Oryctolagus cuniculus: one gene and its partner. The protein of the gene in region 1 interacts with the protein of each later gene in a pairwise test. Links are inferred from orthologs where the notes say so. Each region holds a gene or a part of one and is shown in the gene's direction. Other genes may lie near its edges.

Region 1 (4,345 bases):
TGCGTGGTCTGGAAGGGCACCCAGGCGTAGGGATGAGCACGGGGACCAGGGCTGCTCCCTGGACTGGCTCTGCCCTTCAGGTCCCCTGTCCATCCCCCAGCAGGCTCCAAGGTCACTGCATGTCCCCTCCTTAAGATCCCGCTCCTCCGGTCACTGCTCAGGGCCCGGGGTCAGATGTGGGACAGCTTTGCTCTGGGACACACAGGGGGACCTCAGCAGCAGCCTGCCACGTGTCACACGTCCCTGTGTGTTGGGAGGGAGGGGCCTGGGACTGAGTTGGTGCTGAGGGCTGCGGGGGTGGGGGGGCAGCCAGGCTTTTCTGCAAGTGGGGCCTTTCCTCCCTGCCCGCTGAGTGACTCACCTTGGCACAGACACAATGGTCAGGGCGGGCACCCGGCCTGCACCCCGCTGCACCCCAAGTCCCCGCAGATGCTTTCCGAGAAGTGCATTGAGAAGGGGCTGTGCTGCACCCCCCCCCGCCCCGGCCTGACAGCCTGGCATCGTGGGATAAAAGCAGCACAGCCCCCTGGGGGCCGCCCTTGCCGTGCAGCGCCCTCCCCGGCGCCAGAGAACAAGGCTCTGTTCAGCAAGTGCCCGGAAGACGGGCCAGAGGGGCAGGGGTGGCGGGGAGGCTGCAGGGGGGAGTCTGCTTCCCAGAAGTCCCAGGACACAGACGACGAGGGGCCTGGCGGGCTCCGGCCCTGTGCGAGCAGAGTGGAGGGGTGAATGGACCTGAAGCTCAAGGACAGCGGGGTCCTGGCCCCAGCCCCTTGCCCCCCTGCATGCCCCAGTGGCTTCTGGGTCCCCAGAGCCACCCAGCCTGGGATGCCTTTTCCGTCTTCTCTGCCTGAAGCTTCGGAACGCAAAGGAGATTAATCTCGAGTGGGAGAGTGAGGGCCGCCAGGGAAACAGAAACAGAGCTTCCCACGGGCCAGCCAGCTCATTCGTAACTGCTTTGTAGAGCTGTCTGGGAGGCCAGGGGAGGCGGGCGAGACCGCGGGAAAGGGGCTGCCCATCTGCCCCAGCCAGCCCGCCACACTCCCTCACTCCCTCGCTCGTCCCCTGCTCCATGAGACACTGCAGACAAAGAGCCGGGGGTGGGGGGGGCCAAGCCTGCAGGCCGATCCCAGGAAGAGGGAGAAGGCTGGACCATGGGGTGGCCGTGTTCAGATGGGGGATGCCAGGTGCGTGCTGGGGCTGGGGCTTTTCCTGGCCTGCACGGCCCGTCTGTGCTTCATTAAATTTAAGGCAGGCCCTCTAGGATGGAGGCCTGGGTGAGCGCTCAGAGCTCTGGAAAGCAGGTCCTGCCCCTTCCTAACCCACCTTCCCAGAGAAAGGGTCTCCCCGCTCAGAAGTCAGGGCTTCAGGCCCAGGCAGCACAGCCCCGGCCAGGAAGCAGCGCCCTCACCCTCGGTGGGGAGAGAGGAGCGCATCCCATGGCTGGGCTGCAGCCCAGCCCCACCCTCTCAGGCTATGCCAGGGGGCGTTGCCCCTCCAGCCAAGGCTCCATAAAGCCTGCAGCCCAGGAGTCGGCAGAGCTGGGCCAGGATGGAGCGGAGACGCATCGCCTCTGTTGCTCGCCGCTCTTACACCTCCTCTGCCGAGATGGTGCTGGGGGGCTCAGCGCCCGGGCGCCGCCTGGGGCCCGGCGCCCGCCTCTCCCTGGCCCGAACATCTGTTCCACTCCCGGCCCGGGTGGACTTCTCGCTGGCCGGCGCACTCAATGCCGGCTTCAAGGAGACCCGGGCCAGTGAGCGAGCCGAGATGATGGAGCTCAATGACCGCTTTGCCAGCTACATCGAGAAGGTTCGCTTCCTGGAGCAGCAAAACAAGGCGCTGGCCGCCGAGCTCAACCAGCTGCGGGCCAAGGAGCCCACCAAGCTGGCCGACGTCTACCAGGCTGAGCTGCGGGAGCTGCGGCTGCGGCTCGACCAGCTCACGGCCAGCAGCACCCGGCTGGAGGTGGAGAGGGACAATCTGGCGCAGGACCTGGGCACCCTGAGGCAGAAGTGAGGACTGGGCACAGGGACCGGGCCCGCAGGCGGGGAGGGAACGGCTGCTGCCTGCAGAGTCCAGGACAATGGGGCTCTGCCCCACTGCTCCCTCAATTCCCCTCCCTTTGCTCTCCAGCCCGATGGGAGGGTCTCAGGGACCCTCAGCACCTCCCCACTGGGGAAGCCGAGCCAGCAGCCAGGGGCCCGGACTGTGTGGTTCCTTCACTGGGCCTTGGGACCACAGTTGTGGAGCTCATCTATTCTAACCCCCCCCGGGGGGGGGTCTCTCTAAAGAAGGAACTGGAAGAGAAGCTGGGGTCCCTGCGGAGGATTGGGTCTGGGGGACAGGAAAGAGTGGGCAGGCCTAGGTGCCAAGCACAGGTGACTGCCCTGGCCCGGGCTAGTGACCCCAGTGGAGTTGCTCTGCCCCCCCCCCCCCCCCGCAGCTGGGAAGCAGAGAGCATCAGAAAACCCATTTGCAAAGGCAGTTCCCCGGGCTCGGAGGAAACCCCAGGGCCAGGGGCACGGGCCTTGCTGAGCCAGCAGGGCAGGTGTGCCCTCGAGGGCAGGGCGATGCATGTGTTTGCCCATGCGGAGCAGGTAGACGCTCGTGGACGCGCCTGTGTGAGCAGGAGCAGGTGCAGCGACCCTGGCAAGGCACTTGAGTAATGAGTTAAAGCCAAAGCCCTTGGCTGCTCACCCTCCGGGCCAAGGCCTCTGCAAAGGCCGTGGGTGGCCCTTCCTCCTCCTGTCACTCTGGGGCTGGGAGGGGTGTCTCTGAGCCAGTCACCCCAGGGAGGTTGGGGCAGGGGTCCAAGAGTCCTCTGAAGAGCCTGGACCCAGGAATTGTCTCCCCCACCCCCACCCCAGGCTCCAGGATGAGACTGAGCTGAGGATGGAGGCTGAAAACAACCTGACCACCTACAGACAGGTCAGAGGGGGGAGGGGAGGCGAGGGGAGGGGCATCAGAGGGGGAGGGGAGGGGCGGGGCAGCCCATCCAAAACACAGCCCCCAGCCCAGCCCAGCCCCCAGAACCATGTGCTGTTCCCCCATCCCAGGAGGAGGGGCGAGGCAAAGCCGGGCAATAGGGAAGAGGAGTCTGGGGTCAGAGTGGCCCTTTGCCCCCTCCACTCTCCAGGAGGCGGATGAAGCCACCCTGGCCCGCCTGGATCTGGAGAGGAAGATTGAGTCCCTGGAGGAGGAGATCCAGTTCCTGAGGAAGGTCCACGAGGAGGTGAGGACGGGCGGCGGGGGAGTGAGGACGGGCGGTGGGAGGGGTCCAACATGGGCCTGCGGCTGGGAGACAGACAGAGGAGGAGGGAAGCAGTTGTAAAAAAGCAGGAGTAAGCGCGAGAGAGCGCTCGACGCCAGCCTCTGTACACGGCCGCACTCCCTTTCTGAGAACAGGCCCGCACAGCCCCACGACACAGGGCCCTTCCAGAACCATCTACTTTTCACCGAGCACAGTGGGACCCAAGGGGCTAAAGAACATGCCAGGGTCACACGGTCAGTCCCTCTGCCTCTGTCTCCGGGAGAATGAGAGCCATCATGTATTTAAAGAAAAAAAAAATCCCTCTGCACGCTGACCTCAGAGCCGCGCATCAGAATCCTTGGCCCCAGGGGACCTGGCGACCCTCAGGGACATCCCTAGCCTCAGCTGGGCCACCTCCTCCCACAAGGGCTGCCCGGTTTCCCCTGGCCAACACCCACGGCTGAGAGACAGGCAGAAGCGGGTGCGATGCTGTGCAGAACCCCAGCCGCAGCCCGGGCGCTGAGCCGGGGACCCCTTCTCTCCCCCTGGCCAGGAGGTGCGGGAACTCCAGGAGCAGCTGGCCCAACAGCAGGTGCACGTGGAGCTGGATGTGGCCAAGCCCGACCTCACAGCAGCCCTGAGAGAGATCCGCACGCAGTACGAGGCAGTGGCGTCCAGCAACATGCACGAGGCCGAGGAGTGGTACCGCTCCAAGGTAGCCGGAAGCCGGCTTGCCTCCTCCAGGCAGCCCTCCTTGTTCTGTTCAAGAGAATGAAGCAAGGAGGGTAGAGGAATCTGGGTGGATGTGCCCTCTGGGTGACTGGCCTTCATCAGAGAAGCGAGATAACTTGCCTAGGGTGACACGGGCACAATTACTCCAAAAGTACTCACGTTATTATTGCTGCTGTTACTACTGTCAGCCAACATTGGGGCATGCCAGGCCACTCAGGAGCTGCATTCTCCTGCCAGTGTCCCGAGTTCCTGAGCATTCACCGCAATGCCAGGAGCCTCCTGGGGTACACAGAGGAGCCTGGCGGGGAGATGGGATGTGGACCCAAATATGACCCCACAGAGACCACAGCGCAGTGTTTCGAGGCA
Region 2 (3,645 bases), on another chromosome or scaffold:
GTCAGCCCAGGTGGGGACGTGGGCCCGTGTGTGTGGCTCCATCAGCCCAGGTGGGGACATGGGCCCATGTGTACGGCTCCGTCAGCCCAGGTGGGGACGTGGGCCCGTGCATGCGGCTCCGTCAGCCCAGGTGGGACGTGAGCCCGTGTGTGTGGCTCCGTCAGCCCAGGTGGGACGTGAGCCCGTGTGTGTGCTGCACTGGCCCTGGTGGGATGTGGGCCCCGTGTGTGCGGCTCCGTCAGCTCTCACCATGGGAGGCGAGTAAGCGCACAGCCACCCCGACGGCACTGCCCTGGGCCCCCACGGGAGACGTTTGGGTAGAAGACAGGAGCTCTCTCTCTACAAGCATGACGTCCTCATGCAACTGCAAGTCAGCATCTCACACACACACACCACACACACGAGCCACAGGTGCACGGAGATCCCAGGACAAAGGGGGCACTTCCGGTTCAGAAAGCCCACTGGTGACGGAACCGAGCCGCGTGGTGGTGGGGTGCGTCTCCAGGACTTCTGCCCTGCGAACCGAGTGGCTGAGAAAGGAACCACATGGACCAGGGACTAGGACCGGAGAATCCACCATGCCCTGTGCACGGGAGAGCTGAGGGAGCCTGTTTAAAAAAATGTTTTTTGGCTGGCGCCGTGGCTCCCTAGGCTAATCCTCCGCCTTGCGGCGCCGGCACACCGGGTTCTAGTCCCGGTCGGGGCACCGGATTCTGTCCCGGTTGCCCCTCTTCCAGGCCAGCTCTCTGCTGTGGCCCGGGAGTACAGTGGAGGATGGCCCAGGTGCTTGGGCCCTGCACCTCATGGGAGACCAGGAGAAGCACCGGACTCCTGGCTTTGGAGCAGCACAGTGCACCGGCTGTGGCGGCCATTTGTGGGGTGAACCAACGGAAGGAAGACCTTTCTCTCTGTCTCTCTCTCTCACTATCCACTCTGCCTGTCACAAAAAATGTTAATTTATTTGTTTGAAAGGCAGAGTCAGAGAGAGCGAGCGAGCGAGAGCCCCTCCATCTGCTGGTTCTCTCCCTACATGGCACTGACAGCCAGGGCTGGGCCGGGCGGAAGCCAGGAGCTCGGGCTCCACCCAGACTCCCGCGTGGGTGGCCGGGGCTGGGCCGTCATCCATGCTTCCCAGATGCGTTAGCCGGGGGCTGGATGGGAAGTCAGCAGCTGGGAATTCAACCAGCGCTCACACGGCTGCGGGCAGTGCAGGTGGCGGCTTAACCGGCTGGGCCACCACGCCAGCCCCTGTGGACCTGTGGACGTGAACGCGCGTGAATGCCTGGTTACCCGAGCAGAGCCTTCATGTAAGAAACGGCCAAGTGCGTGGACGCAGGGCGCGGGACGCACAGCGAGCAGGCGCGGGGGTCTTCAGTATTCCTGAGAAATACGTGTGGCGAGGAAAGCGCGTGGTCATTTCGCACCAGAATCACCATCTTTTTGTACCATTTATTCACAAACTTTTTTTAAAAAGATTTTATTTATTTATTTCGGGGGCGGAGTTACAGACCGGGAGGGAGAGACAGAGAGAAACTCCCTAAATGGCCACAACGGCCGGAGCTGGGCCGATCTGGACCAGGAGCCAGGAGCTCCATCCGGGTCTCCCCCGTGGGTGCAGGGGCCCAGCTCCCAGGCCGTCTCCCACTGCCTTCCCAGGCCATTAGCAGGGATTGGGTCTGAAGTAGAGCAGCCAGGACTTGAACCAGCGCCCATATGGGATGCTGGCACCACAGGTGGAAGCTTAGCCTACGACGTCACAGCACTGGCCCCTTTTTCACAAACTTTTAAAAAAGATTTATTTATTTATTTGAAAGACAGAGTTTCAGAGAGGCAGAGAGAGAGAGGTCTTCCATCCACTGGTTCACTCCCCAGATGGCTGCAACGGCTGGAGCTGGGCTGATCCAAAGCCAGGAGCCAGGAGCTTCTTCCGGGTCTCCCACGTGGGTGCAGGGACCCAAGCACGTGGGCCATCTTCCACTGCTTTCCCAGGCCACAGCAGAGAGCTGGATCGGAACAGGAGCAGCCGGGACTCGAACCTGCGTCCATATGAGATGCAGGCCACAGCTTTACCTGCTACGCCACAGGGCTGGCTCCTTCTCACAGACTTCTCAAAGTGCCCTCATAGATACCAAAACTTATTTTTGAGTCTCCCCGGAGAGTTCCATGCCATCATCTCTGTCACGTGTCACTAGACAAAGGCACGCGTGGGGTCTCGGGGACCCCGGCCGAGCCCCGATGCCGGCCCCGAGCCGGCCTCCTGCCACGGAGGGCCCCACAGAGGCCCCGGCTCCAGACGTGAGCGCAGTCTCCACTTTCCAGACCCTGAGGGCGCTGTTCCGGTACGAACCGCAGAACGAGGACGAGCTGGCGCTCAGCCCCGGCGACTACATCTTCGTGGACCCCACGCAGCAGGAGGAGGCCAGCGAGGGCTGGGCCGTGGGGACGTCGCAGCGGACCGGCTGCCGCGGCTTCCTGCCGCAGAACTACACGGAGAGGGCCAGCGAGGCCGACACCTGGGTGAAGCACAGGTGAGCGCCGCCCCGCCCCCGGCCCCGCCCTCCCTGAGCCCCGGTCTGGCGGGGGCCACAGCGGCCACGCGCCCCAGACGCCCCGTCACTCACACAGCTGCCTTCTGGGTCCTAGGAACCCAGGGGCTTCCTCGATGGGTCTGAGGCTTCTGCCGATGGTGTTTAGAAAAAGCGAATGATTCCATGTTTACTGCCTAAGGCAGTCACCCCCACCCCCACGTCACTGCACAACCGCCGGCTCGTCCATCCCTCTGCCTGGCGTGTGAGCAGCGAAGCCCGGTGCACTGTGGGTTTTCTGTTGCCGTGGACAACTGACCACACGTGCAGCAGCTGAATCAGTCGGGACCCTTTCTCAGAGTGCTTGCGGGTCCGCAGCCAGGACGGGTTGAGCCGGTCCCCGGCTCAGGACCGCACGAGCCGTGACCGAGCTGTCGGCCGGGGCCAGGGTCTCACCTGTGGTGGTGGAAGTCATTCCTGGGAGCTGCCGATCCCTGGGGCGTCCTGCCCGGCCAGGGTCTCTCAGCCCGGCGCCTTTGGCATCAGCAGGGTTAAGTTTGGTCCCACAAGGAGGAAGAACCCAGGCGAGACTTGGTTGCTATGAGTAGAAGTATCCGTGGCTGCGTCACCAGCCTCACCACTTACAAGTTCCACCTCCTGGGGCTGGCGCTGTGGCTCACTTGGTTAATCCTCCGCCTGTGGCGCCGGAATCCCATATGGGCGCCGGTTCTAGTCCCGGCTGCTCCTCTTCCAGGCCAGCTCTCTGCTGTGGCCAGGGAGGGCAGTGGAGGATGGCCCAAGTGCTTGGGCCCTGCACCCTCATGGGAGACCAGGAGAAGCACCTGGCTCCTGGCTTTCAATCGGCACAGCACTGGCCATGGCGGCCATTTGGAGAGTAAACCAACGGAAGGAAGCCCTTTCTCTCTGTCTCTGTCTCTCACTGTCTAACTCTACCTGTCAAAAAAAAAAAAAAAAAGTTCCACTTCCCATGCCCACTCCCCGTCACTACATAATAAGGAACCCTTCCTCCAGTTTTTATATTTATTTTATTTATTTGAGAGACAGACACAGAGAGAGAGAGAGAGAGAGAGAGAGAGAGAGAGAATCTTCCATCCACCGG

Evidence for each region. The genes of interacting proteins can lie anywhere in the genome.
Region 2: the proteins of GFAP (region 1) and UBASH3A interact in binary tests that used the Homo sapiens proteins (3 or more experiments, as listed by UniProt). The link is inferred for Oryctolagus cuniculus from reciprocal best matches to the Homo sapiens genes GFAP and UBASH3A.

The regions. Positions count from the first base shown.
Region 1 is NC_091448.1:18,168,135-18,172,479, reverse strand, and holds the start of GFAP (glial fibrillary acidic protein), read left to right. Parts: upstream 1-1,527; 5' UTR 1,528-1,548; coding exon 1,549-2,009; intron 2,010-2,864; coding exon 2,865-2,925; intron 2,926-3,133; coding exon 3,134-3,229; intron 3,230-3,800; coding exon 3,801-3,962; intron 3,963-4,345.
Region 2 is NC_091435.1:3,148,142-3,151,786, reverse strand, and holds part of UBASH3A (ubiquitin-associated and SH3 domain-containing protein A), read left to right. Parts: intron 1-2,319; coding exon 2,320-2,528; intron 2,529-3,645. UniProt on the Homo sapiens protein: Interferes with CBL-mediated down-regulation and degradation of receptor-type tyrosine kinases. Promotes accumulation of activated target receptors, such as T-cell receptors, EGFR and PDGFRB, on the cell surface.